Linked DNA regions of Rhinolophus ferrumequinum. The protein of the gene in region 1 interacts with the protein of each later gene in a pairwise test. Links are inferred from orthologs where the notes say so. Each region holds a gene or a part of one and is shown on either strand. Other genes may lie near its edges. The genes, in order: DCX and ZBTB5.

Evidence for each region.
Region 2: the proteins of DCX (region 1) and ZBTB5 interact in binary tests that used the Homo sapiens proteins (3 or more experiments, as listed by UniProt). The two-hybrid records come from large-scale screens. The link is inferred for Rhinolophus ferrumequinum from reciprocal best matches to the Homo sapiens genes DCX and ZBTB5.

The regions. Positions count from the first base shown.
Region 1 is NC_046284.1:42,665,783-42,682,089, forward strand, and holds the start of DCX (neuronal migration protein doublecortin), read left to right. Parts: upstream 1-9,039; 5' UTR 9,040-9,091; intron 9,092-10,833; 5' UTR 10,834-10,855; coding exon 10,856-11,219; intron 11,220-16,307. UniProt on the Homo sapiens protein: Microtubule-associated protein required for initial steps of neuronal dispersion and cortex lamination during cerebral cortex development. May act by competing with the putative neuronal protein kinase DCLK1 in binding to a target protein.
Region 2 is NC_046295.1:53,160,134-53,176,938, reverse strand, and holds the start of ZBTB5 (zinc finger and BTB domain-containing protein 5), read left to right. Parts: upstream 1-8,548; 5' UTR 8,549-8,676; intron 8,677-9,759; exon of another isoform or gene 9,760-10,059; intron 10,060-10,315; 5' UTR 10,316-10,403; coding exon 10,404-10,405; intron 10,406-16,805. UniProt on the Homo sapiens protein: May be involved in transcriptional regulation.

The DNA.
Region 1 (16,307 bases):
ACACGAGGGACCCCGAAGTACCTAGAAGGGAGGAAAATGGGAGACACAAAGACCGAAGACAGGAGTTCTGATCAAGTCTCTCTTTATTGCAGCTCAATCATGGGTTATATACATTTTTGTGCTGGGTGGAGGGGCATTAACGTAAGCAGGGTTGCCGCAGGCTGATGGTCTTAAACCCTCTGGACATACCCTACAGAATGTGGGTGTTATCTAAAGACCCAAGTAACTTCCTCTATCTCATGCTTCTCAGTCATGTGATGGTGCCTTACAGGCACCCGCCCTCTACAGGTCCCCCTTTTCTGTTTTATAAAAAAGAGCTCTGAGCCCCTAGGGAACTGTGCCTGTCTTAGGTTGGGACAGTCCATCTCTGTGAAACCTGGTACAGCGACAGGTTTTTGATTTTTTATGTTACTTAGAGAGCTGTCCTCTTACCCATCATTGGATATCCAGTTCATCTCACAGGGGAGGAGTCCTGTTTTATGACTCCTGTTATTGGAGATAGGGATCTCCTCGCTCTTGCATCTCCAGTCGGGTGTAATGGATCTGTATGGGCTTGGCCTGCAAGGCCTCTATTTGTTGTCTGAGAAAGCGCATGAGTTTATTGAGGAGTATGGGTCCCAGTGATAGTAGGATAAAGCACCCGAGTATGGGGCCAAGCAGGGGTAGTAAGTAGGGTAAAAGTCCATTGAATCCGGTCCAGAGAGGGTTGGAAAGGAAAGGCGGTCTCTTCTTCTTTTTTCAAGGTCTTCTTGTAATTTTTTGACTCTGTCACGAACAATTCCAGATTTGTTAGCATAAAAACAGCATTTTTCTCCGAGGGCCAGACAGATGCCCCCTTTTTCTGCAGTAAGTAAATCTAATCCCCTCCTGTTTTGGAGGACAACTTCTGCTAGGGAATCAACCTGATCTTGAAGATCTTGGATAGTTTCTGAGAGTACCTGACATCTGATATGAGTTGTCCAGATAATTTATGGTATTGTACTAGGGAATGTCCTATCCCCGCGGACCCGGTGGCAAGTGCGGTGGTGATGCCTAGATAGACCCGCTAATAAGGGAATAAAATGGACTGCATGTTTAGTGCGTCCTGCAATATGTTCGAAAGTCGGGATAGGGACTGGCTCATCTCCTGGAATGATGGATACATCTGGGAGGAGGGAGCCTAGGGTACAAACTCCTGTCCAGTTTTGTGGTAAATAGGTGTAGGCATAATTATTTCCACAAATATATACCGATCCATTGGGTGCACACATAGGAGAGGATACATTAATGAAGGAGGAGCAATTTGTAAAGGAGAGGCTTCCTAAATTAACCTCTGTAGTATCGTTTTGAGTGGGAGAGAGGATGCACGGGGTATTGTTAAAGCCAAGGGGTTGGACTAAAAAAGGGAGAGCTATGTTGCATGAATTATTGGTAGTAGAGGTGACAAAGGGGTAGGGTATAGCTAATGGTAAAGGGGTGCCTTGTAGTAAACACAGCCACAGTCTGTGGCGTAGGATGAATTAACAGAAAGCAATAACTTGTGGGTAGAACTAAGAATGTCAAAAGTCTGGGGATCAATGTCCACGTGACCCGGTTTTTTAGGGTGGGCCAAAGGGTGATAGGTAAGTTTAGGGTTAAGGGTCTTTTGTATTTCAGCAAATTTTTTAATGCGTTTTTCATTGGATTGGAGATCGGCTGGACCCCCGCCGTCAGAAACATATGGTATAGGGGATTCGATCTGCCAGCAAAAGAGCTTATTAGAGGGATAATGGTTGTCAATGTGCCCTAAGAAGGAGGCGCAGGCTAATAACCACTGGTCTGTTGTTTGTAAGAGCCAATTAATTTCTGTTTTTGTTTAAGGTTGAATGATTATGTCGGGCTCCTTACCGAAGTATCGGCGTCCGTTTTCTCTGCCAATTGTGATAAGTTTTGCAACTAACAAATAATATGGTATTTTAGTTTTTTCGTGGGAGGCAGGGAGATGCGACCACATCAAAGGTGCTGTTTGCCAAAAGACACCGGTGGGTGTGTGTGGCGTGGCACAGATGATAAACCTAAGGGGCTGAGTGTAGTCAATAAAGGTGATAAATTGTTGACTGATGGCCTCTTCTACTCTTTTTATCGCAAGCAGACCTTCCTTAGTTAGCTTGCGTGGGGAGGTTGGGTTTGAGTCTTCTTGTAATATATCAAAGAGAGGTTTTAGTTCTCCTGTAGTAAGTTTTAAGTATGGACAGATCCAATTTATATCACCTAATAATTTTTGGAAATCGTTTAAAGAGTTTAAATGGGTGGTTTTGAGTTGAATTTTTTGAGTTTTAATATATTTACCCTGGAGTTTAAAACCAAGATAGGTGTAGGGATCTTATAACTGAATTTTATTGGGAGCTATTTGTAAGCCTTTGTTTTGTAGGCTATTGACAAGAGCGTCACAGCACAAAAGGAGGTCAGACCCATTCTTGCCAGCTATTAAGATATCATCCATATAATGAATAATATAAAAAGAGGGCCACTGAGTTCGAATGGGATCGATGGCCAGAGCAACAAATTTTTGACACGGTGTCGGGCTGTTGGCCATGCCCTGAGGTAAGACCTTCCACTGAAATCTCTGCATGGGCCCTTGGAAATTAGTTATAGGTATGCTGAAAGCAAAACGTTGTCTATCTTGAGGGTGTAGAGGGATAGTGAAGAAGCAGTCTTTGAGATCAATAATGATTTTTAAGGATCCCGAGGGAATAGCTACAGGGGTAGGTAGGCCTGGTTGAAGGGTGCCCATAATTATCATTGTTTTATTGACTTCCCTAAGGTCTTGGAGAAGTCTCCAATTTCCAGATTTCTTTTTTATGACAAAGATAGGTGTGTTCCAGGGGGAGTTACTGGGCTCTAGATGCCCTGCCGCCAATTGTTCCTGTACTAACTGATTGGCAGCATTTAGTTTTTCTAAACTTAGTGGCCACTGATCCACCCATATGGGCGAGTTGTCTTTCCAGGATATAGGGTCAGCATGGGGTGCAGGTTGGTCAGAGGCCACTAGTGAAAATGTCCTAAGCCTAATCGAGGCGGGCGCTGGGCAGTGGATAGGGGTTTTTTAATTCCCTGTCCTTGTTTTCCTAATCCCTGACCTGGGAGAAACCCTTGTTTTAACATCTGGGTGGTTATCTTGGAATTGGGGCTGAACATGATTACTCCCATTTGGGATAATATGTCACGGCCCCACAGATTTACTGGGAGGTTGGGTACAACGTAAGGTTGTACTGTGCCAGAGTTATTTTCTTTATCTAGCCATGTTAGGAACTTGGCACTTTGTTTGGGGTTAGTTGTTTGTTCTATGCCTTGTAGGTGAGTAAGTGTGTCAGAAAGGGGCCAAGAAAGCAGCCAGTCTTCTTGTCTAATAATGGTTGCATCAGCACCAGTGTCAATAAGGCCTTTAAAGGTTTTTCCATCAAGTTTTAAATCTAGCATGGGCTTATTGGGGGAGAGATTTTGAATCCAATAAGCATCTGAGGATCCAAAATTTTTGTTGTTTCTTGGCTCATTGTTGGCAGATTTATGGGTGGTTAACCAGAGGTCATCTAGGGATTGTAAAATTGAGAGTGTAAAGGGGGCCGTGGGGCCATATTCGTCCACCGCTTTTTTGAGTTCTTTTGTGGTTTTTAAATCAAGGCGTTTATAGTGTCTGGCGGGTTCTTTATTGTCTCTGTCGGGGTCTTCATCACTATCTGCACTGCCTCCTTCAGTTTTTATTGGGGGGAATTCAATAACAGGGAAAAGATTAAGAGGGTTTTTTTTATTTGAGATGGGAAATTTTTTTGTAGGATTTATGGAAAGGGGGGAATTTTTTGAGTAGCAGCAGAGGAGAGTTGTAAATCTAACTGTTGAAGTTGTTTAAGGAGAGTTAGATGTTGTTTTTTGAGTTTAACGGTTCTTTGTAATTGTTGGACTTGGTGGGAGAGGAGAGTTTGATCAGGATCGTGGATAGGAGCTAAAGGCATTTGGGGATTATAGGGAGAGGGCAATTGATTAGAGGCCAGAAACTGCCAGTCAGGATTATGATATTTAGCGGCAGCTTCCTCTAAATCAGCCTCATCCTCAGGGCTTAACTGATCGTCCTCAGGTGGGCTAGAATTTACATTAAGATCAGGACAATTAGGTGATAGGGGAGGATATAAGGGCTTACTAGGATCTTTTTTGGTGGTCTCAGGATCTTCAGGAGGCATTGAAATAGAAATAGAATCTGAATCGTGGGAGGACTTAGAAGAGGGGTCCTGTAAGGAGGAGGAGGGGCGGGAAGCGTTTTGTAAAAATGTGTTTCCTTCTTGTAACACTCGGTCGATGTCAGGGGTGTAGCGATCTACCATAAGTAGCTCATTAATGCAATGCCAATAAGTGAAAGCAGTGATGGGGATTTTTTTAGGGCCAAAAGTTTTATAAAAGTCATTAAGGGCATCTCCAACCCTTTTCCATCTTTTGTGGTCTATGGTTTCTTCCTGAGGGAGCCAAGGGCAAACATCTTTTAAGAAATTAAAAAAAGATAACTAAATCTTTTTTCTTGACTTTAACTCTCCTTATTTGTAAGGACTCTTTTAGTCCTGAGATAAACTTGTCATGAACACTAACCTCTTGTCCCATTATGATAAGGAATAAAGACTCTCCTCACGTAGGCAGTCGGTTGGTACAATCCGCCAACACGGACCCAAACGAGACGGCACGGATGGTAACGACCCGCAGACGAATGTCTTTTGGGACTCACCCGGCCGGAGCGACGGGGGTGTTGGGGTGAGAGGAGAAAAAGCCCTTACGTGAGCAATCGGTTGGTATAATCCGCCAACACGGATCCCGAGAGGTGACGCGGCTGGTAACGACCCTCAGGCGAAAGCCAGTCGGGACTCAACCAGTCGGGAAATCCTCTGGGTGGACGATTGGAGCTCAAAGTAAGCAGGCAAAATCTCGCTCAAACGGTCCCAAACACCTAGAAAACTGTCTCGTTGGTGAATGACTAAAACCCAAAGTGAGCTGAGAGCAGATAAAAAGGGAGACTGGGACAACAGGTTAGGGGAACCCTAGTCTAAGTGTCTGAGGGGAAGCCTGTAGACTATACATAAGTCTAGAACACAAATATATGTCCCATTTTTTGAAGGAGTCGTCCGCTTACCTTTACAGATCTCCCACAAGTTGGGTAGTCTTATGGTGATCAAAGAAGAAATATGCTGCATCTCCTTAGACCGGACGAACTCAGGCGTCTCATCTGCTAGGAGACTTCAGGCCCCACGTTGGGCGTCAGTTGTCCCGACCCGCGGGACACTACACGAGGGACCCCGAAGTACCTAGAAGGGAGGAAATTGGGAGACACAAAGACCGGAGACAAGACAGGAGTTCTGATCAAGTCTCTCCTTATTGCAGCTCAATCATGGGTTATATACATTTTTGTGCTGGGTGGAGGGGCATTAACGTAAGCAGGGTTGCCGCAGGCTGATGGTTTTAAGCCCTCTGGACATACCCTACAGAATGTGGGTGTTATCTAAAGACCCAAGTAACTTCCTCTATCTCATGCTTCTCAGTCATGTGATGGTGCCTTACAGGCACCCGCCCTCTACAATCAACGAATACAGGAAAGATGCTGGCTACAAAATCAACATACAAAAGTCCATCGCATTCCTATATACTAACATTGACATCTCAGAAAAAGAAAAAAGAACAATTCCTTTTGCAATTGCAGCAAAAAGAATAAAGTGCCTAGGAATAAACTTCAACAAGGATGTGAAAGACCTATATGCTGTAAACTATAACACATTTTTAAAAGAAATTGCAGAAGACACAAAGAAATGCAAAGATATTCCGTGCTCATGGATTGGAAGAATCAATATAGTTAAAATGGCCATATTACCCAAAGCAATATACAGATTTAATGCCATCCCCATCAAAACCCCAGTGGCATTTTTTAAGGAAATAGAACAAAGAATCATTAGATTTGTGTGGAACCACAAAAGACCCGAAATAGCCAAAGCAATCTTAAGAAAAAAGAACATTGCTGGAGGTATCACTCTCCCTGACTTTAGCTTGTACTACAGGGCAAGAAGAATCAAAACAGCATGATATTGGTAGAAAAAGAGACATATAGAACGATGGAATAGAATTGAGAACCCAGAAATAAAACCACATAAATATGGACAGATAATTTTTTACAAAGAGCAAAAAACATTCAATGGTTAAAAGACAGCCTCTTCAATAAATGGTGCTGACAGAATTGGAAAGCCATGTGCAAAAGAATAAAACTTGACTGATATCTGTCACCATGTATCAAAATTAATTCAAAATGGATCAAAGACTTAAGCATAAGACCTGAAACAATAAACTGCATACATGAAAACATAGGTACTAAACTTATGGAACTTGGGTTCAAGGAGCGTTTTATGAATTTGACTCCAAATGCAAGGGAAATAAAAGCTAAAATTAATGAATGGGACTATATCAAACTTAAAAGCTTCTGCACAGCCAAAGAAACCATCAGCAAAATAAAGAGGCAACAAACTGAGTAGAAGAGTTTTGCAAACAGTACCTCCAATAAGTGGCTAATATCCAAAATATACAAGGAAATCATGCAACTGAACAACAAAAAAACAAATAACCCAATTGAAAAATGGGCAGACGACCTGAAGAGACATTTCTCCAAAGAGGACATACAAATGGCAAAAAAACATATGAAAAAATGCTCAACATCACTAATCATCAGAGAAATGCAAATAAAAACCACAATGAGATATCACCTCACCCCAGTCAGAATGGCTATCATCAACAAGACAAATAGTAACAAGTGTTGGAGAGGCTGTGGAGAAAAAGGAACCCTCATACACTGTTATTGGGAATGCAGATTGGTGCAGCCTCTATGGAAGGCAGTGTGGTGATTCCTCAAAAAATTACGAATAGAATTACCATATGACCCAGCAATCCCTCTCCTGGGTATCTACCCAAATAATCTGAAAACATTTATCCATAAAGACATATGTGTTCCAATATTCATTGCAGCTTTATTTACAGTGGCCAAGACATGGAAACAATCAAAATGTCCTTCAATAGATGAATGGATAAAAAAGTTGTGGTATATATACACAATGGAATACTATTCGGCTGTAAGAAAAGGTGAAGTAGGACCATTTGTGACAACATGGGTGGATCTTGAGATTATAATGCTAAGCGAAATAAGTCAGACAGAAAAAGCAGAGAACCATATGATTTCACTGATATGTGGTATATAAACCAAAAACAACAAAAGAACAAGACAAACAAATGAGAAACAAAAACTCATAGACACAGATAATAGTTTAGTGGTTACCAGAGGATAAGACGCGAGGAGTGTGGTAGATGAGGGTAAGGGGATCAAATATATGGTGATGGAAAGAGAACTGACTCTGGGTGGTGAACACAAAATGGGATTTATAGATGATGTAATACAGAATTGTTCACCTGAAATCTATGTAACTTTACTAACAATTGTCACCCCAGTAAACTTTAATTGAAAAAAAAAAAAGAATAAAGTCTATTCCAAATCCTTAATGTTTAAGTTTTAAAATTCCACCCATTCTTATATCCTCACTGGAAATTGAATGATTTTGAATTGAATGCAAAATCAATTGCTGTATATTTACGGAATGCTTATGATATGCAAGAAAAAAATAATTATGACACTGGCCTTGCTGGACAAAGAAGTTTCAAGCGTTGATAGGAATTTCCATATTTCCCTGCTCCCATTCTTTGATATTTCTCTTCTCCTGACCTGACTGTCCCTGGGTTTTCTAGAGGTGGCCTCAATGTTATGCAGAAACAAATGGAAGAGAACAGGAAACATGCATGCAATCCCCTGAGGGACTTACTTAGAAACCGGGAGAGCAGCAACAAGGTGTTAAATGGACTTGACTGCGCAGGTTGCACACTTAAGGCTGACCACCAAGCTAGGCTTTGCTGATCCAACACCTTCCAGAAAAGGAAAATCATAATTTTTATCCTATTTCAAGGTAAAACACGTGCATGGAAAGTGCTTTACTGTAAATCCGCAACAGTTATATGTAAAAAAGAGGGTCAGTTGTACTAGGAATCAGATATAAGATAATTACTGAGCATACTATTAACTCTGAGATTCCTGGAGGCCAAGTAAAAAATGGAAACATGTAGTTAAAGACTGTTTCATATTTATGTATGTAGCTTCAGTTGTGAAGATAGTAGCACACCCCGCTTTAGTCTCTCACCTTTCTCTTTTTCTGTCTTATAATTTGGCTACATTACTTAATTAAATTTGGATGCTTCCTAGTCCCTTTTAAAACATTTGATATAAAGAAGTCAATTAGAAACAAATAGGCAGTTTGATGAGAGAGAGTTTAATATTTATCTTGTACCATCAGACTCACTTCACATAGAAAGGTCTCTGGATTGGATTTGAACTCTCAAACTCCCGAAGGTAAATGCCACAAATCACATTAACCAAATTACTACATGAAGATGAAAGTTCTATGGGGTCTTTTCTCAACTCTGTCTTCCATGAAATTCTGGAACTCTTTTCCTTTTTCTTGTCTGTTTCCTACTTCCTCTTAGTCTACTCCTCTGTTCTCACTTCAAAAATAACCAGTTGTTTGATGCGTAAACTAAAATGCCTTAAAGAATTTTCAGATTTGATTGTTTTTTTCTCAAGAAGGTGAAAGAAAGAGAGCTACAATTTCTAGGAAGCCTGGTTTGACTGAGTCCAGCCCCAGGAAGATTAGTTCTAGGTTTGGCAAAGTGGAATTGTCTATTCCCTAAAAGAAAAGGCTAGCACGTTTCTTATTAGAGCATTCTGCACTTGCTTGTGCAATCTTTTTGTTATCCTGCAATTTCCTGTTGGTTATAATGAAATCTTTCTAGCTATTAATGCAGCCTGTGAATTGAGAAAAAAAAGCATGTAATTAATCATAGGAGATTTGGGGGATTCACTAAGTCTGAATATAAGGGAGATGTTGGACAAGGCACTAGGACCTAGAAGGCATCTATCCACCCTGGCAGGAATTTCTTGCTTGGAGCTCAGACAACAAAGGCATAGAGAGATTGGTTTTCTTTCTCTCAGCATCTCCACCCAACCAGCAGAAAACCGGTGAGTGGGGCATTTGAGTGATTTTCAGGGAGAATATAACAAATGTCAAACGGGAAAAGCACAAGGCAAAGGGTGTACTCTCTCTCTGTCTTTCTCTTCTTTTTTTCCCTGCCTTGTTCTCAGATTTTTCCCCTAAGCCTCTACCTGGGATTTTCCTTTGGAAAAGTGAGTTTGATGTTGCTTTGTTTTCACTGTAATGTTGATGTAGAATAATACCACCCCTGACCTTAAAGGAAAGCCAAGGGTTGCTGCATGCCTGGGGAAATGCTTGCTACTTGTCTTGAGGAGGTGGGGTCTCTTTCCACTGCAGGTTGTCTGACAGAGACAATGCTGAGCTCAGCACAGGTCATGGTGACATTGGAAGGAAAGGGGGACTGAGCCTGGCAAACCTACCAACACTAGCCCTCTTTTATCTCCTGTGTCCGGGTCCCTTGCAAATATCTCAATGTGGCAGTGTGTAGCAGCTGAGCCCTGCTTGCTTTGTGAGCCCTTTCATCCCCATCTGTGAGATGCATGTTAATAGTCCAGTTCCTACGCTGTCATTAGCTTTGCTAGCTTTTGAGATTTCTGTTGTATTTCATTACATGTTTTGATTTTCTTTCTTTCTTGTTTTGTTTGTTTGTTTTTGGTTCAGCAGAAGGGGGAAAGCAAATCTGAACAGATGACCATCTTTTTCCTAGCTAACATACCTGGGCAATAGACAAGTTTGGGGGTGAATTGCCTGCTCTGAGGGCAAAATGCCCCTTCGGTCAGGGTAGAAATCCAGAACAATGAAAGGTGTGCTTGCTTCTAATGGTCCCATATGCTGTTTTCAGGGACTCATTTGGGAATCTTTCAACAATCAAATTATTCCATTAAGAGGTAGGGCTGCATCAGTGGGGAGGGGATAAAGCACTGGGAAAAAAGAAGAAAAGAAAAGCAAAGAAAAGGATTTTGTGACCAAATTGTACCAGAGGGAAACAGCTTATAACTTGTTAAATAACTGATTTTTCTAATCCTTTTTGTTTTTCAGCTTATTTCTTGTGAATCTTGGATAGCTGCACCAGCTTGGTGGGGAAAGGGTTTGATGAATAGCACAAAGACACTGGCTATTCCCTAGAGGCTGTCCCTTTAAAAGAAAATCCTAGTTCATTCTGGTGGGGGGTGAGGTTATGCACACATTAGAGTAGGAAAGAGGGTTTGGAATAAAATTTAAAAAATCCACTTCATACTCATTTTACTGATATGCAAAAATCGCTTCCTAAGCTGGAGATACTCACCTTGGCTACCTCCTTCTGTTGTCTTTAAAGGGCATTCTGTCAGGCTCTGGATTCATTTACAACTGTTAGTCATGTGAACATGTATGAGGAAACAGATACCAGTTTTAATGTATTTAGCCCAAAGTTACAATTTCATAAGAGCCACTGTCAGTAGGTCCCAGGATTTTAAGCTATTTCAAAATCCCTCTCTCTCCTCTATTGGAATAGTGCCAAAAGTGCCTCCCTCTCTATCTCTTGCCCCAACCCCCACAACCACCAGCACCCTCTTAGCCCCTCCTTTTTCTCTGTTAAGATCAATATTCCTGCAGGTCAGGGGCAAGCAGCAGATGGGTCAGGGGATTTTTTTCAACCAGTTCTTTTCACAAGCAGCAGATTGCAGATCTGGATCTGGCTAATATTTGAATTCCTTTCTTTTTTTTTTTTTCCCTCCCCACCACTTTTTCTTTGCCTTTTTTCTCCCCTGCCTTTTTCTCCAACACTCAGGTCTCTGACGTTTTATCAAAATATGGAACTTGATTTTGGACATTTTGACGAAAGAGATAAGACATCCAGAAACATGAGAGGCTCACGGATGAATGGGCTGCCTAGCCCCACTCACAGCGCCCATTGTAGCTTCTACCGAACCAGAACCTTGCAGGCACTGAGCAACGAGAAGAAAGCCAAGAAGGTACGTTTCTACCGCAATGGGGACCGCTACTTCAAGGGGATTGTGTACGCTGTGTCCTCTGACCGTTTTCGCAGCTTCGATGCCTTGCTGGCTGACCTGACTCGATCTCTGTCTGACAACATCAACCTGCCTCAGGGAGTGCGTTACATTTACACCATTGACGGATCCAGGAAAATTGGAAGCATGGACGAACTGGAGGAAGGTAATTAATAAAGTGGGTGGTGGCCCTTGGTGGGAGATGGCATCATTGGTTTTGGTAATATTTCTTGGATTTTAATGAAATAAATTAGGAAATAGATTTGAGAAAATACCAGGATGATGCTCAGGCTTTTGATTCTATAGGCATCAACAGGGCCATCAGCCATTATCCCTCATGGCTTTCAGTCTCTGCTGGGTTGAATGTAGATGGTGGTGATAATGCATTGTGCTTATCCGCCACGGTTCACAAAGGAATATTTGAAGTGTCATTGACTCAGAATATGAATTGTTGTTCAAAATTAACTCTAAGTAGAACTATGGAGGCAGAGTATGAAATCATTAGGGGTATTAAATGAGCAAAGAAGTCTGGTTGGGTTAACAGAAAGAAAATGTACTCAAATATTCTTTGAACTGCTAAGAGACTATTTGTGAACTGCAACTCATGGAAATATGCACCCTAAACGCAGGATTTCTTGGACATATTCACAAAGGATTATACTTTTAGGTAAGTGGTTACTGCTCAGCTGTTGCTTCTAAAAAGCCCACATCAGGGTGTGTCCCTAAGGCTGAGGTCATTGAGAGAAATACCAAAGAAAGCTGTAGGTATGCCTGGTATTTTAATACACTATTCCTATTAGAATATGAACTGACTCACTGTACCTAAATCCCTTTAAATCCTCTCTACATTTTGGTTTTGCAATTGAATTTTATGACTAGATTGCTGAAAATCTTGACAACCTCTGTATCTACCCCAAAACAGGGAAAATCCTCACTCTTGCCAAAACTTGCTAAGCCATGAAGTCTTCTTTTTGTGCTCATTTAGAAAATAGATGTTGGGATGTGTTTATATATTTTACTTTGTCAAGTCACTTATATTGAGGATGCCTCCCTACCCCCACTTTTAAATTGGTATAACATATGTGATCAGTTTAACCTGACACAATGCTTTAGAGGAGAACCTTAAGGAGTGGTGATAATGAAAATGGCCCTGCCCCCACAAACTCTCTCCCACCTTCCAGCCCTCTCTTCTCACTCCTTCCATTCCCTGAGCAAAGGTGAGTTTACAGCAGGCAGGTCTCTAGGGAAACCAAATTATGAAACAGCCGACAAGGAAGGAGAAAAAGCATATTCAATGAATTGGTGTGGGAGTGCCCGTCTCCCTCCGCTTCACTGCTTGTAGGTTTCTTGTGTTCCCAGACAAAGGAGCATGAGGGCTTCCCTTATACAAGATCACATTGTCACACGTAACTGCTATTTCCCAAGTTAGGTCAAGTGATTTGGGGCCAGTTACTTTATAAGAGACAATATCCATATGGCTATTAGATCTGGGTCTCAGGGTTCAAGTCCAAGGTTTTTCTACATAGTTGACCTTGAAAAGCGATGCTGAAGAGGCTTAAATTATTTGATCATGTGCTGAATGGCCAGGCAGTGGTTAATCCTAGGCTTCTCCTGAACATTGAAGGATTGGCCATCCTAGTGTATATCTTGAAATAAAGGAGAGTCAGGGCAAACTTGAAGGGTTTGAAGCTAGGCCGAAGGAGCTGTCCAACAAAGTAATTGATAAGGTGAGTCTTTTGTCACTGTAAAATACATATCTCAGTCAAATTTGAGGGTGTTCTCTGTAATACTTTTCACAAACAAAGCACCCTGAATGTAGCATATCCTCATTTCCCAGTATGTCCTCATTTTTACTAGCTGTAATCTTCTAAAGACCATGATAGACACTATGGCAGACTTCTGAACCAAATGACATTGTATTCAGAGCAAGGATTATACTGTTCTTGGGTCTGATATAAGAAAGTTGTCATGCACAAATCCTCCCACCCACAATCTATTTTTTAACATGTCTTGCTCAAAGACAATTCCTTGATATTGATTTCCACCCCCCCTGGATTTGTGTGTGTGTGTGTGTGTGTGTGTGTGTGTGTGTGAGAGAGAGAGAGAGAGAGAGAGAGAGAGAGAGAGAGAGAGAGAGAGAGAGAGAGATGATAATCTTAGTTCAATATAGATAATAAAAGTAATTTTGAAGACTGTAGCTTCCTTTTCTTTTGATCCTTTTAAGTCCTGTTGAATTGTACTTTTATCATCTACCATTCCAGGATGCTGTGGTAATAATTCCTGTGAATTCCTTCACTATGTAGAGTGTGCTTATGGCTCAGTTGCATTTATCCATATGTCATTTAAAACCACAAGCTGCAGAGGCTCTCAATGCCTCCCCCTACTCCTGAGTACTGCCCATTCAGTCAAAGAAATTCTGGATACCTTAGGATAGAATTGAGAAATGTGACCAGCTTTCCCACTACTACCACAGAGCTAGATGGGAAAGGGCATTGGAATGAGGAGGATAAAGATAAAGGGTATTTTTCTCTCCTATTTTTGTCCTTTGGAACTACTCACCTAGGAATGGAGGACAGGAGTCTCTTACTTTGTTCGCTTTTGGAAGAAGTTAAATGAAAGATTACAAAATTCATATACATTGCTTTCCGTGAGACTTCAAATTGAAACAGTTTGGTAAGGTCCCTGGGTGAAGAATCAGAGGCATTGGGTTCAAGTCTTGGAGGCAGAAGATTATAATGGGAGCAGTCTTTGGAATCAGATTGAGTTCAAATCCAAGATTTGCCACCTGCTAGCTTATGTGTCCTTGGTGAAACCATTTTGACTGCCTGAACCTCACATTTTCATTTGTAAAGTGGGAATAACTGCTTTGAGAATTAAATAAGACAATGGATATTAAATGTTTAGTATTATGCCGGGCACACAGTAGCACTCAATAAAGGATAGCAATTATGTTTGAGCCATCCTAGTTTGTAGCTGGTTAGCTAAATGACCATAGGTTTGGACTTATCATCACTGTGACTAATATTCTCTCTTTTATTTATTTATTAATTTAAAAAAATTTTCAATTACAGTTGACATACAAATTAATTTCAGGTGTACAACATAGTGATTAGAGATTTATATAACTTACGAAGTGATCACCCTGATAAATTATGATGCTCTCTTTTTAATTTATTAAACTTATTAGGATGACATTGGTTAGTAAAATTATATAGGTTTCAAGTGTACATTTCTGTAATACATCATTTATATATTGCATTGTGTGTTCACCACCCAGAATCAACAATTCTCCTTCCATCATCACCATGTTTGATCCAATGTTCTCTTTTTTAAAAACAACTATTTTTAAAAGACAACTTTACTAAGTTATAATTTGCATACCATAAAATTCACCCATTTAAGTGTAAAATTCAATAATTTTTCGAAAATTTACCAAGTGGTGCAACCATCACCATAATCTAGTTTAGGCCATTTTCATCACCCTGAAAAGAAACCCTGTACCAATTAGCTGCCACTGCTCATTTCCCCTATTCTATCCAGTCCTAAGCAATAATTACTCTACTTTATATCTCTACAGATTTTCCTTTTCTGGACATTTTATATAAATTGAATCATACATTATATTCTCTTTTGTGACTGGCTTCTTTCTTTCACTTATAAAAAGATGTTTTCAAGGCTTATCCATGTTGTACCATTTATCAACACTTTATTCCTTTTTATTGAGGAATAATATTCCATTGTATGGATAGATCACATTTTGTGTATCTATTGCAATATTCTTATCTATAAAATGAGACTAGTAACAGCTGCCTTCTTTATCTATTAAGGTGGTTGTGAGGATAAAATTAGGTAGTAATTATGGAAACACATTGACAAGATAAACCTATAGCTACAAGGTACCATCATTGTTAGTGATGTAATAATAATAATAATAATGGCGATGCTAGTGAGGGGTTGGAATGGCCAGTGGTTCCCAAACCAGGCTGCCTTTAAGAATTTTGTAGGGCTTTACAAAAATATAGATTCCTGGGCTACATCTCAGATCTATTGAATTAGAATCTGCAGGGCTAGGGCTCCAGAATCTATGTTCTCACAAATCTCCCCAGGTGATTCTTGTGAGCACTTAAACTTGGGAAGTACAGTACTTGATTAGCTGATCTTGATGGTCCCCTTCAGCTAACTACAATGGTGAAAGTTCCTAGGAATGTAGAAATTCTTGTTTGTGTTTTTTTCTTTGTAGATCTAGGAAAATTTCTTTGTAGGAATAATGGACCATAGATCATACTATGTTTCCAAATGGCCTCATTAAAATATAGCCTAAAATGAAATGAAATAAAAAGCAAACATTTAATAATCACTCTGGCCTTGTGGCACTCTTTTGTCTAATGCCTCTAGTCTACAGGCTGCTTCTAGATACTGAAAGTAACCAGGGGAGAAATTTAGACTAATGTCGGTTTATTGATGTCAGCTTTCTCACAGCTCCTTGGTTACACCAGTTGTCTTACCAGAGCTATATAGAATGTGGCCCTTATACCTGTATTCCTAGTGGGTCAATGAATGAAATCCATGAGTGACTTTCATTTGCCTTGCTTAGTGTTTCATTGTTGAATCTTTCTTCTTCCCCTCATATCCTGTCCAAATCTTTCCTCGTTTTCTTGTATGTGAGTGCCCAGATCAATCTTAAAGGTATCCATTTTAAGCATTGTTATGCAGACCGTGGGACAGAATATTTACAATTGAGATAGTCTTGTTAGAAAATTGGAGCTGTATAGTGACAGTAGCAAGATCCAGTTCCTTTGCCATAGCTCACTTTTTTCCAATGAGATGAAACCATCTTGTCACTAATTTATCCTGACTACTAAAGCAAATTGCCAAGGGGGAGGATTTTAGGATACCTGGGAGAGATACATCATTAATAGGTATGATAATTCAAAAAGTACCATTTAATATGTTTTTTCTTGAGTGATGAAGCCCCAGAATAAAAGGAAAAAAAAAACAGGAAGGAATGCTTTTGCACTGAGAAAATGTAAATATGTTTAATGTTTTTGAAAATGGAGTCCCTCTGAAAGTGAAAGGAGGTAGACATTAGATCATCTTGAGCACACAACTTGTTCCCTTCTTACCTTCCATGACTTCATTTCCTTACCCCCTCCCCCTGAAGCACTTTGTCAATTCCACTAAATTGTCACCTTTCTCGGCTCTCTGAAGCCAGGTTTACTTCTAAGCTCCCAATTGGTGGGAAATGGCCCTTGGA
Region 2 (16,805 bases), on another chromosome or scaffold:
AAACTTGATATATATTTTGAAAGTAAGGGATGAGGCAGAATCCTCCTTTCCTGGGGTAATATCTCCATCTGCTGGCATTTCAAGATATCGCTAATGAAGGCCTGAAAAGGCAGACAAGATCCCACAGTATGTTTGTAGCCACTCATTGTGTACTGTCAAAAATGTTTCTTCTTCTATTTCATCTTTTCTCTTCCTTTCTTCTGCCTCTGCCTCAATTTTTTATCCCTTTGTTTCTTTTTCTGTGTTTGTCTCACTCTTCTGTTCTCCATTCTGTTTTTCTCTTCCTTCATATTTCTGATGTAGATTCTGTTTGTACACCTATAGACATGGACGACTCATTTCTTATAAGGCAGACTTTTCACCTTGGCTAGGTTTTTCCTTACATGGAGCTGAAGCTGCCTTCTGTAGCTTCTACCTGTGGTGCCAGTTCTGCTTCTCTAGGGCCACACAGAACACGACCAACTCCTCTGCCCTGAGCCCTTCAAAAGCCTGACTACTCTGACCATACTTTCCACTGACCTGCTCCTTTGCTCCTCAGCAACTCTTTCCAGCCCCTCAGCTATTTCACACACCAGAGTTCCTAGGTCTGTCTTCATCTGGTCACCACTTTGGGACATACATTAGTACATCTGGATCTTTTTCAAACTGGAGCACCACATGGATCAATACTCCAACTCTGGGCTGGGTAACACAGAATAAAGAGGACCCATCTCCTCCCTTCTGCTATTTGCCATGCCTCTCTTAATGAAACCAATATGTGAATTTATTCTTAGCATCTACACTGTTCAGTTAAGTTGTTTAGGGTTGATAAACCAAAATTCTTGATTTTGCTTCTGCTAAGTCACATTATCCCTGCATTTTTTATTTTTTTTATTTTTTTAAGGAGGGCGCACACACTGGCCCATGCGGGCATTGAACCAGCAACCTTGGTGTTATTAGCACCACGCTCTAACCAATTGAGCTAACTGGTAACCCCATCCCTGATTTTTTTTAAAAAACAAAGATTCAGAGCTTTATGTGAGGCCTAAGTTTAATCGTGTTAGATTTAGCTTACTCAGATTTTTTTATTTTTCCCAACATTTTTTAGATTTACAATAATTATCAAAGCAATTTTGATGTCCAATATTGGGAAAAATACAGAAAAATATAAAGAATGCAATTATAGTAACCCATGATCCTTTCCCCACCTAGAGGCAAACATTGTTAACATTCTGTTTTATTCCTTTCTAGATTTGTCTCTCTGCATATCTGCATATGTTTATATAACTGATACATTATTGTATTCAATTGTGTATCCTCCTTTTAAAAATTTTTAAATAATCTTGTAAGCATTTTCTCAAATCACACGATAGTCCATTGAATGTTGCCACAGGGTTTATACATCCAATGCTTTAGTTGCTCACTTGGGCTATTCCCAATTTTCTCACTGTTACATGCAACATTACATGAACTTTTTAAGCATAAAAACTTTGTTTGGGTTTTTTTGGATAAATTCTTTGGTTGGGATCCTAGGATTTGAATTAATGAGTCAAAGAGCATGAACATTTTTTTTAAATCTTAATACACTGTCAAATTTGACTCCAAAAATTTTCAGATCTTTTAAGCGATCTGCCTTCTAACACTACCCAAGACAATTTGGAAGATATAAGAATAAAAATACACAATGCTTGGCCTCAGGAATTACTTGCTAGGAGGAACACAAAAATGGAAAAGAACACTCTTAAGGGTGGATACTGTTAAGTCTTTAGAAATTCTCAGTTCAGTCAGTTTCATTGCTTTATTTGTTTTGAATCTTTGTTACTAGGATTATACTCATTCAGGCTTATTATCTCTTCTTAATGAATTAACCCTTTTCTCATTAGAATTGTCCTTCCTTATCTCTCATAACATTCCTTGTCCAGAAGTCCACTTACCTGATCTTCAAATAGTTATTCTGGCTTTCTTATGATTGGTGTTTGCATGATACATCTTTTTCTATCTTTTTACTCTTAACCTATTTGTATTTTTATATTTAAAACAGGTTTCTATGGACAGCATGTTCCATGTTTTCTTCTTTTATAGTTTGGTTTCAAAAGGTTTTAATATTTCATTCATTTGATAATAAATTTGTTGTAAGAAGTTAGATAGATACCCAATATATTTTTTCCAAAATACTTCCCAGTTTCACAGGCTCAAAATTTAATCTATATTTCTTCCATTGCTTTGAAATGACAACTTTTTCATACATTAAATTCTCTTATATATTTAGGTCTATTGTGGACCCTCTGTTTTGATCCACTGAATTGTCTGTCTGTTCATATACCAGTACCAAGTTTTGGGGTTTTATTTATTGTGGCAAAATATACATAAAATTTACCATCTTAACAATTTTAAGTGTACAGTTCGGTAGTACTAAATACATTCATAATGTGAAACCATCACCACCATCCATCTCCATAGCTCTTTTCAAATGTGAAACTGAAACTCTATATCTATTAAATAATGACTCCAATTTCCATCTCACCCAAGCCTCTGGCAACCACCATTCTACTTTCTGTTTCTATAATTTTGACTACCCTAAGTACCTCACATTAGTGGAATCCTACTTAGCGGAATCATCAGTATTTGTCTTCTTTTAGCTGGCTTATTTCACTTAACATAATGTCCGCAAGTTTCACCCATATTATAGCATGTCACAGTTTCCTTCCTTTTAAAGGCTGAATAATATTCCATTGTATGTATATATCACATTTTGCTTATCCATTCATCTGTTGGTAGACATTTGGGTTGCTCCCACATTTTAGCTATTATGAATAATGCTAATATGAACATAGGTATACAAATATCTGTTTGAAATGCTGCTTTCAATTCTTTGGGTATATACCCAGAAATGGAATTGCTGAATCATATGGTAATTCCATTTTTAAAATTTTGAGGAACCGCCATACTATTTTCCATAGCAGCTGTACCATTTTACATTCCTACCAATAGGGCATAAGGAAGGGTTCCAGTTTCTCCACACCCTTACCATCACTTGTTTATTCTTTATGTTTTTGAAAGTAGCCACCTTAACAGGTGTGAGGAGATATCTCATTGTAGTTTTGATTTGTTTCCCTAATAATCAGAGATGTTTCATATGCTAATGGGCCATTTGTATATCCTCTTTGGGGAAATGCCTGTTCAAGTTCTTTGCTCATTTTGGAGCTACATTTGTTTTTTGGTTGAGTTTTAGTTCTCTAAATATTCTGGATATTAATCCCTTATCAGATATATGATTTGCAACTATTTTCTCTCATTCTATGGGTTGCCTTTATATTCTGTTGATATTGTCTTTTGATGCACATTTTAAAAATTTTCACGAAGTCCAATTTGTCTATTTTTTCTTTTGTTGTCTATGCCTTTGGTATCATCTCTAAGAAATCATTGCCAAATCCAATGTCAAGCTTTTATCTTATATTTTCTTCTAAGAGTTTTATAGTTTTAGGTCTTACATTTAGGTCTCTGATCCACTTTGAGTTGTTTTTTTAAAATAATGTTAAGTAAGGGTCCAATTTCATTATTTTGCAGTTTTCCCAGCACCATTTGTTGAAAAGACTGTCCTTTTCCCGTTGAATGGTTTTGGCACCTTGTCCAAAATCACTTGATCTTACATGCCTGAGTTTATTTCTGGGCTCTCTATTCCATTCCATTGGTCTACGTTTGTCTTTATGCCAACACCACACTGTTTCAATTACTATGCCTTCATAGTTAAGTTTTTAACTCAAGAAATGTGAGTCTTTCAGCTTTATTTTTCTTTTTTGTGATAGTTTTGGCTATTCGAGGTTATTTGAAATTCTATGTGAATTTTGGAATGAGTTTTTCTATATTGGCAAAAACATATTATTGGGATTTTTTATAGCAATTGCATTGAATCTGCACATTGCTTTGAGCAGTATTGACATCTTAACAATATTAAGTTTTCCAATCCATGAACATGGAATGTGTTTCCATTTATTTATGTCTTCTTTAATTTCTTTCAGTAATGTTTTATAGTTTTCATTGTATAAGCCTTTTACTTCCTTGGTTAAATTAATTCCTAAATATTTTATTCTTTTTGATGCTATAGTAAATGGAATTCCTTTCAAAATTTCCTTTTGAGATTGTTCATTGTTAGTGTGTAGAAATGCAACTGATTTTTGTGTATTGACTTTGTATCGTTGTAGTTGGCTGAATTCATTTATTAGCTCTCACAGATTTTGGGGGAATCTTTAGGATTTTCTACATATAAGATCATATCATGTGCCAACAGAGATAATATTACTTCTTCCTTTCCAATTTGGATACCTTTTATTTCTTTTTTTCCTTAACTGCTCTAGCTAGAAATTCTAGTATTATGTTGACTAGAAGTTGTGAATGTGGGCATCTTTTCTTGTTTCTGATCTTAGTGGAAAGGCTTTAAGTCTTTCACCATAGAGTATGATGTTTGCTGTGGATTTTCACATTTTTTAATATGTTGAGGTGGTTTCCTTCTACTTCTAGTTTATTGAGTGTTTTTGAAAAGGTGTTGAATTTTTGTCAAATGCTTTGTCTGCTTCAATTGAGATGATCATGTTTTTTTTTCTTTATTCTTTTAATGTGGTGTTTTACATTGATCAATTTTGTATATTGAACTATCCTTGCATTCCAGGAATAAAACCTTCTTGGTCATAATGTATAATCCTTTTAATATACTGCTGAATTCAGTGTGCTAATATTTTGTTGAGAATGTTTGCATCAATATTTATAGAGGACATGGGTCAGTAGTTTTCTTATAATGTCTTTGTCTGGCTTTGGTGTCAGGGTAATTCTGGCTTGATAGAATGGGTCTAGGAAGTATTCCCTCCTCTTTAAGTTTTTAGAAAAGTTTGAGAAAATTGGTGTTAGTTCTTTAAATGTTTGGCAGAATTCACCAGTGAAGCCATCAGATCCAGGGCTTTTATTTGTCAGGAGATTTTTGATTACTGATTCAATAGCATTTATAGCTATAAATTTCCCCCTTAGTACTGCTTTTGCTGTGTCCCATAAGTTTTCATCTGTTGTATTTTCATTTTCATTCATCTTTAAGTATTTTCTAATTTCCTTTGTAATTTCTAATTTGACCCATTGGTTATTTAAGAGTGTGTTGTTTAATTTCCACAAATTTGTGAATTTTTCAGTTTTACTTCTGTTATTGATTTCTAACTTCATCCCATTGTAGTCAAAGATACTTTGTATGATATTCATCTTTAAAAATCTATTGAGACTTAATTTGTGGCCTAATTTGTGGTCTATTTTGAAAAATGTACTAGGTGCACTTGAGAAGAATGTGTATGTTATTTTTGTTGCATAGAGTGTCCCATATATGTCTATTAGATCCATTGGTTAATTGTGTTAAGTCCTCTATTTCCTTACTTATTATAATCTCTCTGGTTGTTCTGTCCATTATTGAGAGTGGGATATTGAAGTTTCCAATTATTATTGTAGAACTATCTATTCTCCCTTCAATTCTGTCAGCTTGTGCTCCAAAATCCCATGGAAGTCACTTCAGCAGCAGGGGGAAGGGCTTGTAACAATGAAGGGGAGGTACAACAACAATGGCTACCTGCCTCTTTGATCTGCATCTCTGTGATCACAAGCAGCAATCAGTGATCTCAAATATTTGGAGGACAGGGTCCTTTTTGTCCACTGTGGCTCCCACAAGCTGGTACAAACTGCTCCAGGAACCCATGCATAGCAACTTGCCATGTGGCTGAGGTGTGGAGGATGGGTTTCTTCTCCTGTGCTGAGAGCTAAAATTGACCAAAATTAACTGCAATTTACCTTTCGAACCCTTCCCTAGAAGTTGCAGGCCTTCAATAGACTCCTGAGTTCCAAAATAGTTACATTAGATAGATTCTGCCCTTGCAATTGTCTGGGTGGGGAGGCAGATTCTTGGTGCTTCCTACTCTGCCATCTTTGCTGAATCATCTCTCCCTTTTTTTTTTTTTTAAACATAAGAAAGTATTATAAAATATATTTGTAATTGTTAGGGCTATGGCTGTCTTGTTGATTTTTTTCCAGAATTTTCTTCGCTATTCCTATAATACTGTTTTCCTTTATAAATCTTAGAATCAGTGTGTCTAGTTCTAAAAAAGTATCTTATTGAGACTTTTATTGGGAAATTTATAGCTTAATTTAGGAAGAATTTTGCTAATGGTTTGAAAACCCACACAAACTAAAAGTCCTGGTTTTCATAAATACTACTAAAATAATAAAGCTTTTTATAAACATTATATTAATACAGAAGTATATAAAGACTATAAACTAAGAAGGCCATCTTAAAACATTTCCTTATCACTGCCCCCTCCCCAACACCCCTCACTGAGGTAACTCATGAATAGCTTGATAGTATCCTTTCACACTTAGCCATACATTTACAAATTTTTATGTGTACGTCCACATGCAGGTTTTCATTGATTTTGTTTTGTATGTATATGAGATCATTAGTGATGGAGCCATAAAATGCATGTATCAATTTTTTGTAATCCTCTGTAGTTGCACATTCAGCTTTTGTTTCTCTCCTACTAACAAACCTGTGATCAATGGCTTCCTATATATTCTCCTACATTTGTGTATTTCATCTAGGTTAATTTGTGTATTTCAGAATACGTTTCTAGAAAGGAATTGCCACCTAGAAGGGAATGAATGCATATTTAAAATTTTGATAAGTACTACTAAGTTATCTTCAAAAACAGTGTCAATGATACTCCCATCAACAATATAGGAGGGGGCCTTTTCAGTACTCTCCTACCGGGTTTCCCCCAAAATAAGACCTAGCTGGACAATCAGCTCTAATGCGTCTTTTGGAGCAAAAATTAATATAAGACCCGGTCTTATTTTACTATAAGACCCGGTATAGTATAATCTAATCTAATCTAATGTAATCTAATCTAATCCTGGGTATGATATAAGACCGTGTCTTATATTAATTTTTGCTCCAAAAGATGCAATAGAGCTGATTGTCTGGATAGGTGTTATTTTCGGGGTAACACGGTAAGTACTGAATATACAAATATTTTAAGCTTTTGCCAAGTTGTAAATTTGAGATAATATCTAGCTCACAGCATTTTTATAAGGGTCATGTGTGAAAACACCTCACACACCGTCCAGCCAATCTGGCAATAAAACATCTGTAAAGGCTATAAAGTGTCAGGGAATCTTAAAGAACAGAATTTACCATCAGACTTCATTGAGGCCTTACAGAAATCCCAAAGGCAATATTTCCAACCTGTAACGTCTGAAGAGATGGATCAGCTGTAATAATATTTGGGTGTTAACCTCTGACACAGCAGGACGTTCCTTTAAAAAATAGTGTCTCCCTTCTCTCCCCCCAAAAGAAGCTTGAGGCAGTCCCCAGCCTGACTTTGTCTCTGGAGCCACGCGGAGTTCCCCAACAGCTCACTCGGGAAGGCCCTTTACAAGCTTTCTTCTCTCCTCTTCACCCGAGGAAGGAGGGCTTCTTCCTGCCCCAGTGCCTGGTGCCCTCCGAGGCCACGCGGGCTGGTCTCCCTCCGGGATCGTGCTGTCCATCTGAGAGTGCACCTGGGATCCCGGGAGCCGTTCCAGAGCTTGCTCTTTTCTGACAGCATCCCACAGAAGTCCAGGACCGTCCAGGTGTCCAACTTTGTTTTGGGGTAGGTTGGTTTTGGAGACTGCAGGCTTATGGGCCCTGCGGCACGAACTGTGGATCAATGAGCGAGCAAGTTGGAAGCCGGTACCTGCTGGTCATTCTCAGGTTTCAGAATTGCGGGAAGCCAGCCCAGGGACTGGACTTGGGGCGCTGTCGGACTAAACTGCCGTCAGATGGATGTTTGCCAGATTTCGGCTAATTCAACCTAAACAGCTTCTTGGAATTTTATTTTTCCCAAAGTCCACGACGTGAGAAAGCCCCCGACGCAATATGTGTGAGTCTCGCGAAGGCCACTCGCTTTGGAGGAGGAGCCGGGGGTCACAGAAGGGCCGGTGTCTGGAGGGTGGGGATGTCCTCCAGGTCCCGCGAATGGTGGGACCGCATTACCCTGAGGGCCCGCCTCCTGGCAGTCGTGGTTGTGAGTGGTGGAATTAGGCGGAAAACTCGCTTGCCTCAACCACAACGTGATTTGATTGGCTACGACACACATTAGCTTTTTCATAGCCCAAAACTAACGCCGCTTAGTGATAAATCCCGCCTTAAAGGCGTTTGATAACAGTTTTACGTGTTGTAAAGCAAACGGTGATTGGTCACAGCGCTCACGGATTCAATCGTTAGTAAACACAGCGAGGCTCCCGGGACCATGGATTGGTCAGCGTTCTGGTTCGGCCTAGTCAATTCCTCCGGATTCCGCACGCCGGCTGGCTGCTCTCCTGCCCGGGCCTCGCCCCCTCCCTTGCTGATTGGTTTTAGTTTGGCCAGAGGGGAGGAGGCGGAGTAGGTGCTCTCGCATTGCGTCACTTCCGTTTACTGTCGGCCGCCGCCGCGGTGTTCTCAGAGTGTGGCGGCGAACGGGCTGAAGGATCTGGGGGACGAGAGGCGGGGTGGGTGGGGAGGGTGGACGGAAGGGGGAGGAAATCCCATTACCGAGACGCCAGCCTGGACGTTCCCGCCTCCTCCGACACTGTCGGGTCGGATCGGGGAAGGGTCACTGCCTCCTCCAGCGAGAAGGGGGGCGGAGCCCGGCTCAGGTGAGAAGACCCTGTCACAGCGAGTGGTGGTGGCGCGCGCGGGCGCGTTCACGTGGAGACGGTTGAGCACCAGCGGTGCTGGGCTGGCGGCGCAAGAGGGGTCGCGACAAGGCATCTGGGGAGCGCGCAGACGCGTACCGGTGTCCCTCGCCTACTCTGTTGTCTTTCTGAGGGGGTATTGTTACCCTTCAGAGCAGAGGGGCCAGGAGGATGGGAGGCGGGTTCTTCTGCGCAGGCGTCCCCTGTGTCCGGACGCCTGGTTGTCTGCGGGGTGGGGCGGGGGCTCTTGCCCCCTCGGATCTGCGGGCTGAAGGCGTTGGTTACTGGGAGGGAGGGGTCGGGTGGGGTAGGTCTCCGGACCAGCAGCCTGGCGGGGTGAACGGAGAAACTGCCTCCCTGCGGGATGGGGTCGAATGTGGCTTCCTTTCCCCCATCCTGGGTGTCCTTGAGCAACAAGGTTTCATTTCACCAGGGCAAGGCCAAGGCGGTCTGGAATCGGGAACTGGAGGCTGACCCTGGAGGGGTGGAGCTAGTGTTTTGGAATGCCCCAACTTGTTATCAGAGGAAAAGTGTTTATAGGCATTTATTGAATGCCCACTACTTCCAGGCTTCGTGTAAGAACAGACGTTCTACCTTCTCCCCTTGTTTGGAGGCCAGGCAGATCTGTACAAAAATATATAAGGCAGTGCATTGAGGCGTGGGGGCAGGGGCGGTGTTGACGGTTAGGTTCTTTTTTCCTTCCCAAAGTCATTTGTTATTAAGTCAGTCTGCATTCTGGCATAGTGGAGGGTACTGTAGAAGCTAATTTCTGAAAAGAAGACAAATTCTAATTTAACTTGGAGAAAACATTTTAAGTAAAAACATGGTAGTTTTGATTACCAAGTAGTATGCTTGGGTTCTGTTAATTTGAATGAATAGGAGAAACCCTTCACCTTCAAGAATTGAAACAAAATTTTTCCATATTCTGTTAACATACTTTTCAGTTGTAGTTAGTAGAAGATATTACATACAGTGGGATTTTTCTTTACAAGTTGGAGAGAGTGCTGTGCCTTCGTCATCATTGATGATTTGTTATTTTTGTATGGGTTGTTGTGCTTTAGATAATTTTTAGAAGATGGACTGGGCGCCTCTGTCTTCTGGAGAACTTGCTTTTCATTTGCTAAAGTCTTAGGATTTCCGTGGTGAGGGTGGTTGTCCATAAGCTTAAAGAATAAAGTTGGGGGCAGGGGGAGGAAGAGATCAGATGGGGAGAGAAGAAAGAATTTTAGAGAAACGTCCCTAAACCAAGCAAAGGCCTGGCATTATTGCTTTAATCCCTTTGGAAATCCCAGCAAACTTGGGAAGACTGGCCTGGCCACCGCACCCAGCTTTATGACCTGCCAGGTAAGACGCTTTGGTTGGAGACTTGTTCTAGGCCCTTGGATTTTGCTGAATAAGTGAACCAGGACTTTTAGAGTCCTGAAGTCAACTTGTTTCCTGCTCCGCCATTTTTCTTTTCCAAGTTGTGTCAAAACATAGTGTAGTTAGCTGGAGATACTGGCAAGCTGTGTTCTGGGTAATTGAGGTGTCTAGCAAAATTCTGAAAATGATAAGATATGGAAGAAAAACATCTTACAATGGAGTGTTTTCCTAAATATAGGGCTCAGTGCTCTCAAAAGAGGCTTTGTCACAAGACTATGGTGAGAAGTTGAAGTCGTTTCACAAAAATCACTCGGATACAAAAATGCATGTAAGTGTTTTAGTGTTTAAAGTACTTAGCATGAATTATATTGAGTTCTTCAGTGTGTGTACGGTCAGATATGACAAAGCTTGCTGTGGTGCTGACACAGAATCTTGAATCTGCCTCAGTTTCTCCTTGGACAGGGAAAAGGAAAAGCCCAAGGTATTGATTCCATGTTAGCTTTCAACATTTTTTTAAATGTAAATTTGTTGTAAAATAATTTTCCTCCTCTTCCAGTTTTAAGCATATGATTTCTCTTTTACTATACTTACCATTTCTCAAATACGGATGTTGTCTAGTAGAGCCAGCTTTTGTTAGTGTAGCAGGTGGGATGGAATGTAACACTACACTGCACCTTTTGTTTAAGTATTCAGTGAACTTATGTGCTAAAAGACCAGCTGTTTCTGAGTGAACTATTGCTCTTACAGTTGTTTTCATCATTTTCATCACTGAAAGTGACTTTTAATTTCAAGACCAATTTGGGGGAAGGGGTGCCTTTCACTTGATTAATTATGCATATATTTGCTAAAAGCTTTGATTTATCTTTCTCACACTTCAAATAGATTAGGAATTGCATTGGAGCACTGACTTTATTGTAATAGAGTAGTCATAGATAGATTACTTTCTTAGTATTCAAGATTATATTTTATCTGTAGATACTTTTCCTTCTGATCGTCTAACATATTTGAATGATATGTTTAAGGTTCTAGTATTTCCTTGATTGTAAAACAGTTTTGTTCCCATTTTAATCTTGAAGACAGGATGCCATCAGTAAGCGTTATCCTATGGCCTAATTGACAGCTTTTTTTTCCTTTCCTAATGTTATATGAAATATGTTGCATTTTATAATCACTGGCATCTTAGATTTAATGACATTTGGTACGGTTAAAAGACTTGTACCCAGTTAATTCACTTAATTATAACCAATTAATTTTCCGAATTTTCCTTTGTACTCTGAAAAAAGTTTGCTATTGAAAGGAATCCTATTGGAAGCAATACTTGTTTCTTATAAATGGAAACTAACAAAGTTTTGTTTCTTTTACTAACTTTAAAGGATGATTGTCTGGTGAGTCTGCTTTTGGAAATTATACTTGGTAGTCTGTTACTTTGTGTACTTGATAACAAGTTTACAAATGCTTTATTTCCGACTTCTTAAGTTTAAAATGAGTAGGGAGAATTGCTCCCCCTTTTCTTCTGAATATGATTGTTAACTTGTGATAACTGATTTTTCATTATATCGTAATTAGTCGATTATAATTTGAAATCCACTGAACAGTCTTCTTCTAAATATGCAAGACCTTCAATTGTTTAGTCCTATTTTAGTCTCTACTAGAGGATTTGAGGAGGACAGGGAGAAGAAAACCCACTGTTTGGGGGTTCAGTTGTGAAAAGAACCCACAGATGGTACAAAAATCTAAACACATTTAATAACATACATTGTATTCTTTGAGTAGAATGTCAAAAGTCACTTGGCAGGTAAAGTATCAGTCCCTTGCTGAATGCTATTGATTTGACAAATGATTCAGAAATAAGGAATATCCTACTTAGAAAGTAAACTAGGTATAACAACGAATTAAACCTATTTTTCATTTTCTTGACTGGAAAGGCATCATCACTAATGGTGTCTTCAATGCTTTGGCATGCTTTTTTCTTGATAAAATAGTTTTTGTTCATTAAGAAATATGTTTCTTGATCTGTCGGGGTAAAAGGCAATGAAAGCTATTTTTTTAAATTGCTGAAAAGGTTGTGTGTACGGGGGCAACTGGGGGGTGGCAGGCAACATTTTCTAAATAACAAAGGGAAAATACATTTAGACTTCTTAAGCAGATGTTAAACTAGATATAGTTCCAGATTTATAAGTAGCTAAAAGAAGTCACTTATGGTGGTTTTTATAGATTTTGATATGCTTATGAAGTTTGTATGATCTTTAGAGTGTTAACTGGCTCCAGATGTTCTTTCATCTAGAGAGTCAGCTAGCTGGCTATTCATTTTACATTTTAGAAAAATGTAGTACCCAAGAAAGGGAAATTTCTAGACCAGTTACAGTGTAAGTAGAAAATTCTAAACAGGATAAAGCAGTGAAATGTGTCATAAGATACTTTTAAGTTTAAATACAGTGTTTTCAGTCATGTAACTGTCTTGGACACGCCCATCCTTCAGACAGCACTCCGCTGGTGGCCCAGCACCTTGACAGACCACCTCCCTGACAGGGGTGAGCAGACCAAGATTCTCCCCTTATGACAGGTGAGCCTGCTGCCAGGAATGTATTTTGTGACCCTTCCCTTCTCCCCAAAGCTCTGGTCCCTGATTCTTGTTCTGCATCAGCATCATGGAAGGCAGGTTTGGGGAGGAGCCAATGGCAAGGGACACTGGGAAGAGAAAGCAAAGCTCATCCTACATCCTCCTCACCTTCCAAATCAGTCTGCTGGCCGTGAAGGCTTGGCAGTGTGGTCGGTGATTTTGGCAGTGTGGTCGGTGGTGGTGGCATGCAGCGTTGGAGGATTTGAGTAAGAGAAGAGAAGCCCCTCCTGCTACATCTTCCAGAACGCTTGCTCTAATTTTCACTCCCTTAGCTGTTATTTTACGCACTTGTCTTTTCACTCTCACCCCCGATCCTTGACCTTGACCCCTGCTCTTCAGCTTCATCCCCTTACTCCCTCAATCTCCTAATCCTTATTCCTAGCCTTTGCTCACACTCGTAAGTACGTAGTGTTCTCTCCTCTCCTGAGTATCCTGTCGTCATCCACCCGGCCCATGTCTATCTGGGGGCTGCCCACATTACAGCAAAGTGAGGTTTCGTCGTCAGATCTGGATTTACAACTCTTCTCCTTCACTCACTGCACTAGTTGGGTGTTGTCGGCCCTAGACACCGGATGACAGTCCTCCCTAAGAAATAATATACGTGAAGTACCTACTGAACCTGGCGCTTAGTTGGCATTCAACTCTCTCATTCCCACCCAACTAATCCTGCACCACCCAACTAATAGATGTCATCATGGGAAGGGGTGCGGTGTTACTGGGACCGCATAGGTGCTCTGACAGTTGGCGACAATAGTAACAGGTTAAAGGCACGCTTCGTGATGATCCTGGAAGGTAACACTGAGAAAATGCCAGGCAATTCATTTCACACACTTGAGTAGCATAACATATGAGGATGTGTAAATGGAAGGCTGCCTTTAGTCTCACTCATCCTATATATTTGAAGAATGAGACTCCACATACATGCATTTTCTGTATACAGGTATGTGAGACGTCTACTTCAGTGGCTTTCAGACTTTTGACTTTAGGATTCCTTTACACATTTAAAAATGATTCATGACTCCAAAGAGCTTTTTTGTGGGTTATAGCTATCAGTATAAAACATCTTAGAAATTAAAATTGAGAAAAAGATTTAAGCATTCATTAAAAGTGATAAGCTCATTACATGTTAACATAAATAACATATTTTTATGAAAAATAACTATTTTCCAAAACAAGTGTTTAGTAAAAATAGTGGCATTTGGAAAAAAAACTTTATTTTTAGAACAGTTTTTGATTTATAGAAAGATTGTGAAGACAGTTCAGAGAGTTCCCACATACCAACACCCAGTTTTCCTGTTATTAACATCTTACCATTAGTAGGGTGCATTTGTTAAAATTAATGAACCATTATTAATACATTATTATTAACTAAAGTCCATTCTTTATTCAGGTTATCTTTAGTTTTACCTCTTGTCCTTTCTCTATTCTAAAATCTTATCCAGGAAAACACATTTAATCAGGCATCATGTCTCCTTAGGCTCCCCTTGGCTGTGACAGTTTCTCATACTTTCCTTGTTTTTGGTGACTGATAATTTTGAGTGCTGATCACTTATTTTGTAGAATGTCCAATTGGGATTTGTCTGATGTTTTTGTTACGATTAGACTGGGGTTCCAGGTTTTGCAGGGGGAAAGACCACAGAAATGAAGTGCCATTCTCATTACATCAACACATGATGCTTACTAATGTACTTAACTGTCAGCATGACTTGTCACCTTTGCTGTTGCCCTCGGTCACCTGGCAGAGGTAGTGTTTGTCAGATTTCTCAAGTCTGAAGTTCCTCTTTTCCCCTCCCTTTCCGTACTGTCCTGTGGAAGGAAGTCATTGGGCATAGCCCACACTTAAGGAGTGGGGAGATATGATCCATGTCCCTGAGGGCAGAATAGCTACATAAATTATTTGAAATTCTTCTGCACAAGAGATTTTTCTCTTCTCTCCCATTTATTTATCGAATCCATACTTTAAATCAGTATGGACCTATGGATATTTATTTTACACTTTGGGTTATAAACCAGTATTATTTTATTTATCTTTTTGCTCAAGCTGTTCCAGCTTTAGCCTTTGGAAGCTCTTTCTCCTGTGGAGTCCTATGTCCCTCTCAAGTACTCCCATTATCTTGTTTGTTTGTTTGTTTGTTTGTTTTAAGCACACCCTTACTTTCTGGCACTACAAAATTCTGCAGGCTTATCTTGTATATTTCCTGCCTCAGTCCAAGCATTAGCCATTTGTCCAAGGAGCCCTGGTTCCTTTTATTGGTGAATGGTATTTGAATCCAACATCTGGGTACAGGGAATGCTCAGAGTGGCCTTGTTTTACTTTTTTTGAAAGTCTCTTTAATGTCTAGTCTAATAGAAGACAGGTGGTTTCTCATACCTGCTTCTGTATTCAATTTGTTGTGATATACTTTTGATTAAAGTATACCAAGAAAATCCAGCATCACACAAATACGTGGTTGGAAAAGGGAGGAGTATTTCAGTAGCTTTTTCAGATAATTTTGGATAGTCTTTTATGATTTATAACAACACTCAGCAAATGATATTTTCTTAAGTGGTTAGTTGCAATGTGGAATCTGAAACTATATCAATGAACAGTTAATATTCTGTTACATTCAAATACGCTTGTTTTTATCTTGCACTTTGAATGAATTTTTTTACCCATACCTTCTTTTGTAACATCATGGTTACAACATTAATCATTTGGAAAATATGGATTCACTGAGTTATGTAGATCTTCCAAATGTTGACACATTTATTATACAACATTTTTCAAAAATCATATTTCATTAATATCACTAACAATCTTATCAGAAGGGGGTGAGCATTGGGAAGCTATCAGGCTCATGGTGACAGATACAGATTTTCCAGAAGTCTAATTTTCACCCGAAAGCTTAGATTTTATCATAGGCAAGAAACACTGTAAGTTGTTTTCCTTGAAATGACAAGCTCATTTTATTCATTTCCAAGAAAATATCTGGCAAATACTCGAGTCTAAATAACCATAGTTTGTCATGCGTTCTTCCAAGTAAAAATAGTGCTCCATGAAAAAGCAATGAGTGCAGTTTGCGACTCAAAAATTGCACAAATATTTTTCCTTGAGACAATGTCGTCTTTCACTGTGCAGCACAATTACTTCAAGTGTCCTTCCTATTTCACTTCACGTAACATTAAACAAGAAATGTATTCAAGAATCAAGACTAAGTAACAGTAATGAAGGGGAGGGAAGATTAGATGCCCTGTGCAGTCAGCACTTGCGTGGTAGTGGCTGAGTCCAGCACAGCTGTACAGAGACAGCATTCCGGCCACATTGTTCCTGCTGCCCCTCCAGGCTCAGGTGTCCAACCTTCCTTTCAATGAGCAAACCAGTAACCTTACAGCGACTTACTTTTTGGGTAAGTTAGCTGCAATCAACTTCTATTGCTGCAGCCAAGAACCCTGATTCCTACTGTGCTTAAACTTGAAAATATTTTTTACAAAAGGTATCTGAAGAGGTATTTTTAAAATTCAATTAGTTTGGGAGATATAAAATTTGTTATTCTGCTCTGATGGAAGGTAATCATGAATCGATATCATGGTTATTCAAAACTCTCCAGCAACTCGAGCAAACTCAGAGGACCATGAGGTATATAACTTAGAACTAAAGACTATCATCACTTTATCAAAATTCTTATCTCTAACCAAGGGGAAGTCAATAGATAACGTCTAACTGAAAAATTAAGGAGCTCCAAGCATGTCATTTAATATATGTATGTAGATATCAAAAGAATTAGCCACGAGTTTAAAGTGGTAGCCTTGGAAAAGAGAACAGGGAAGCAGAGAGGCTGGGGCCTGGTATTTGTCTTAACAAATCTTGTGGAACTATTTGATTCTTTAATGTGTACTTCACAAACTATGTATGCCTTTGGTAAAATTTGTTTTTAAAACTCTAAAAAGAAAGAGAGCCTGGACAGACCCAATCCCTCTTCCCAACACACAGAAAACACTGCCAAAGAATTACTCCCCACCCCAGAAAAGGCATCAGTACCAATAGTTTTATAGGAAATATCTATCCAATGCTATGAAAAAGATCATTCTTACGTTACTTAAACCATTTTAGGAGAGGAAGCTCCCAATG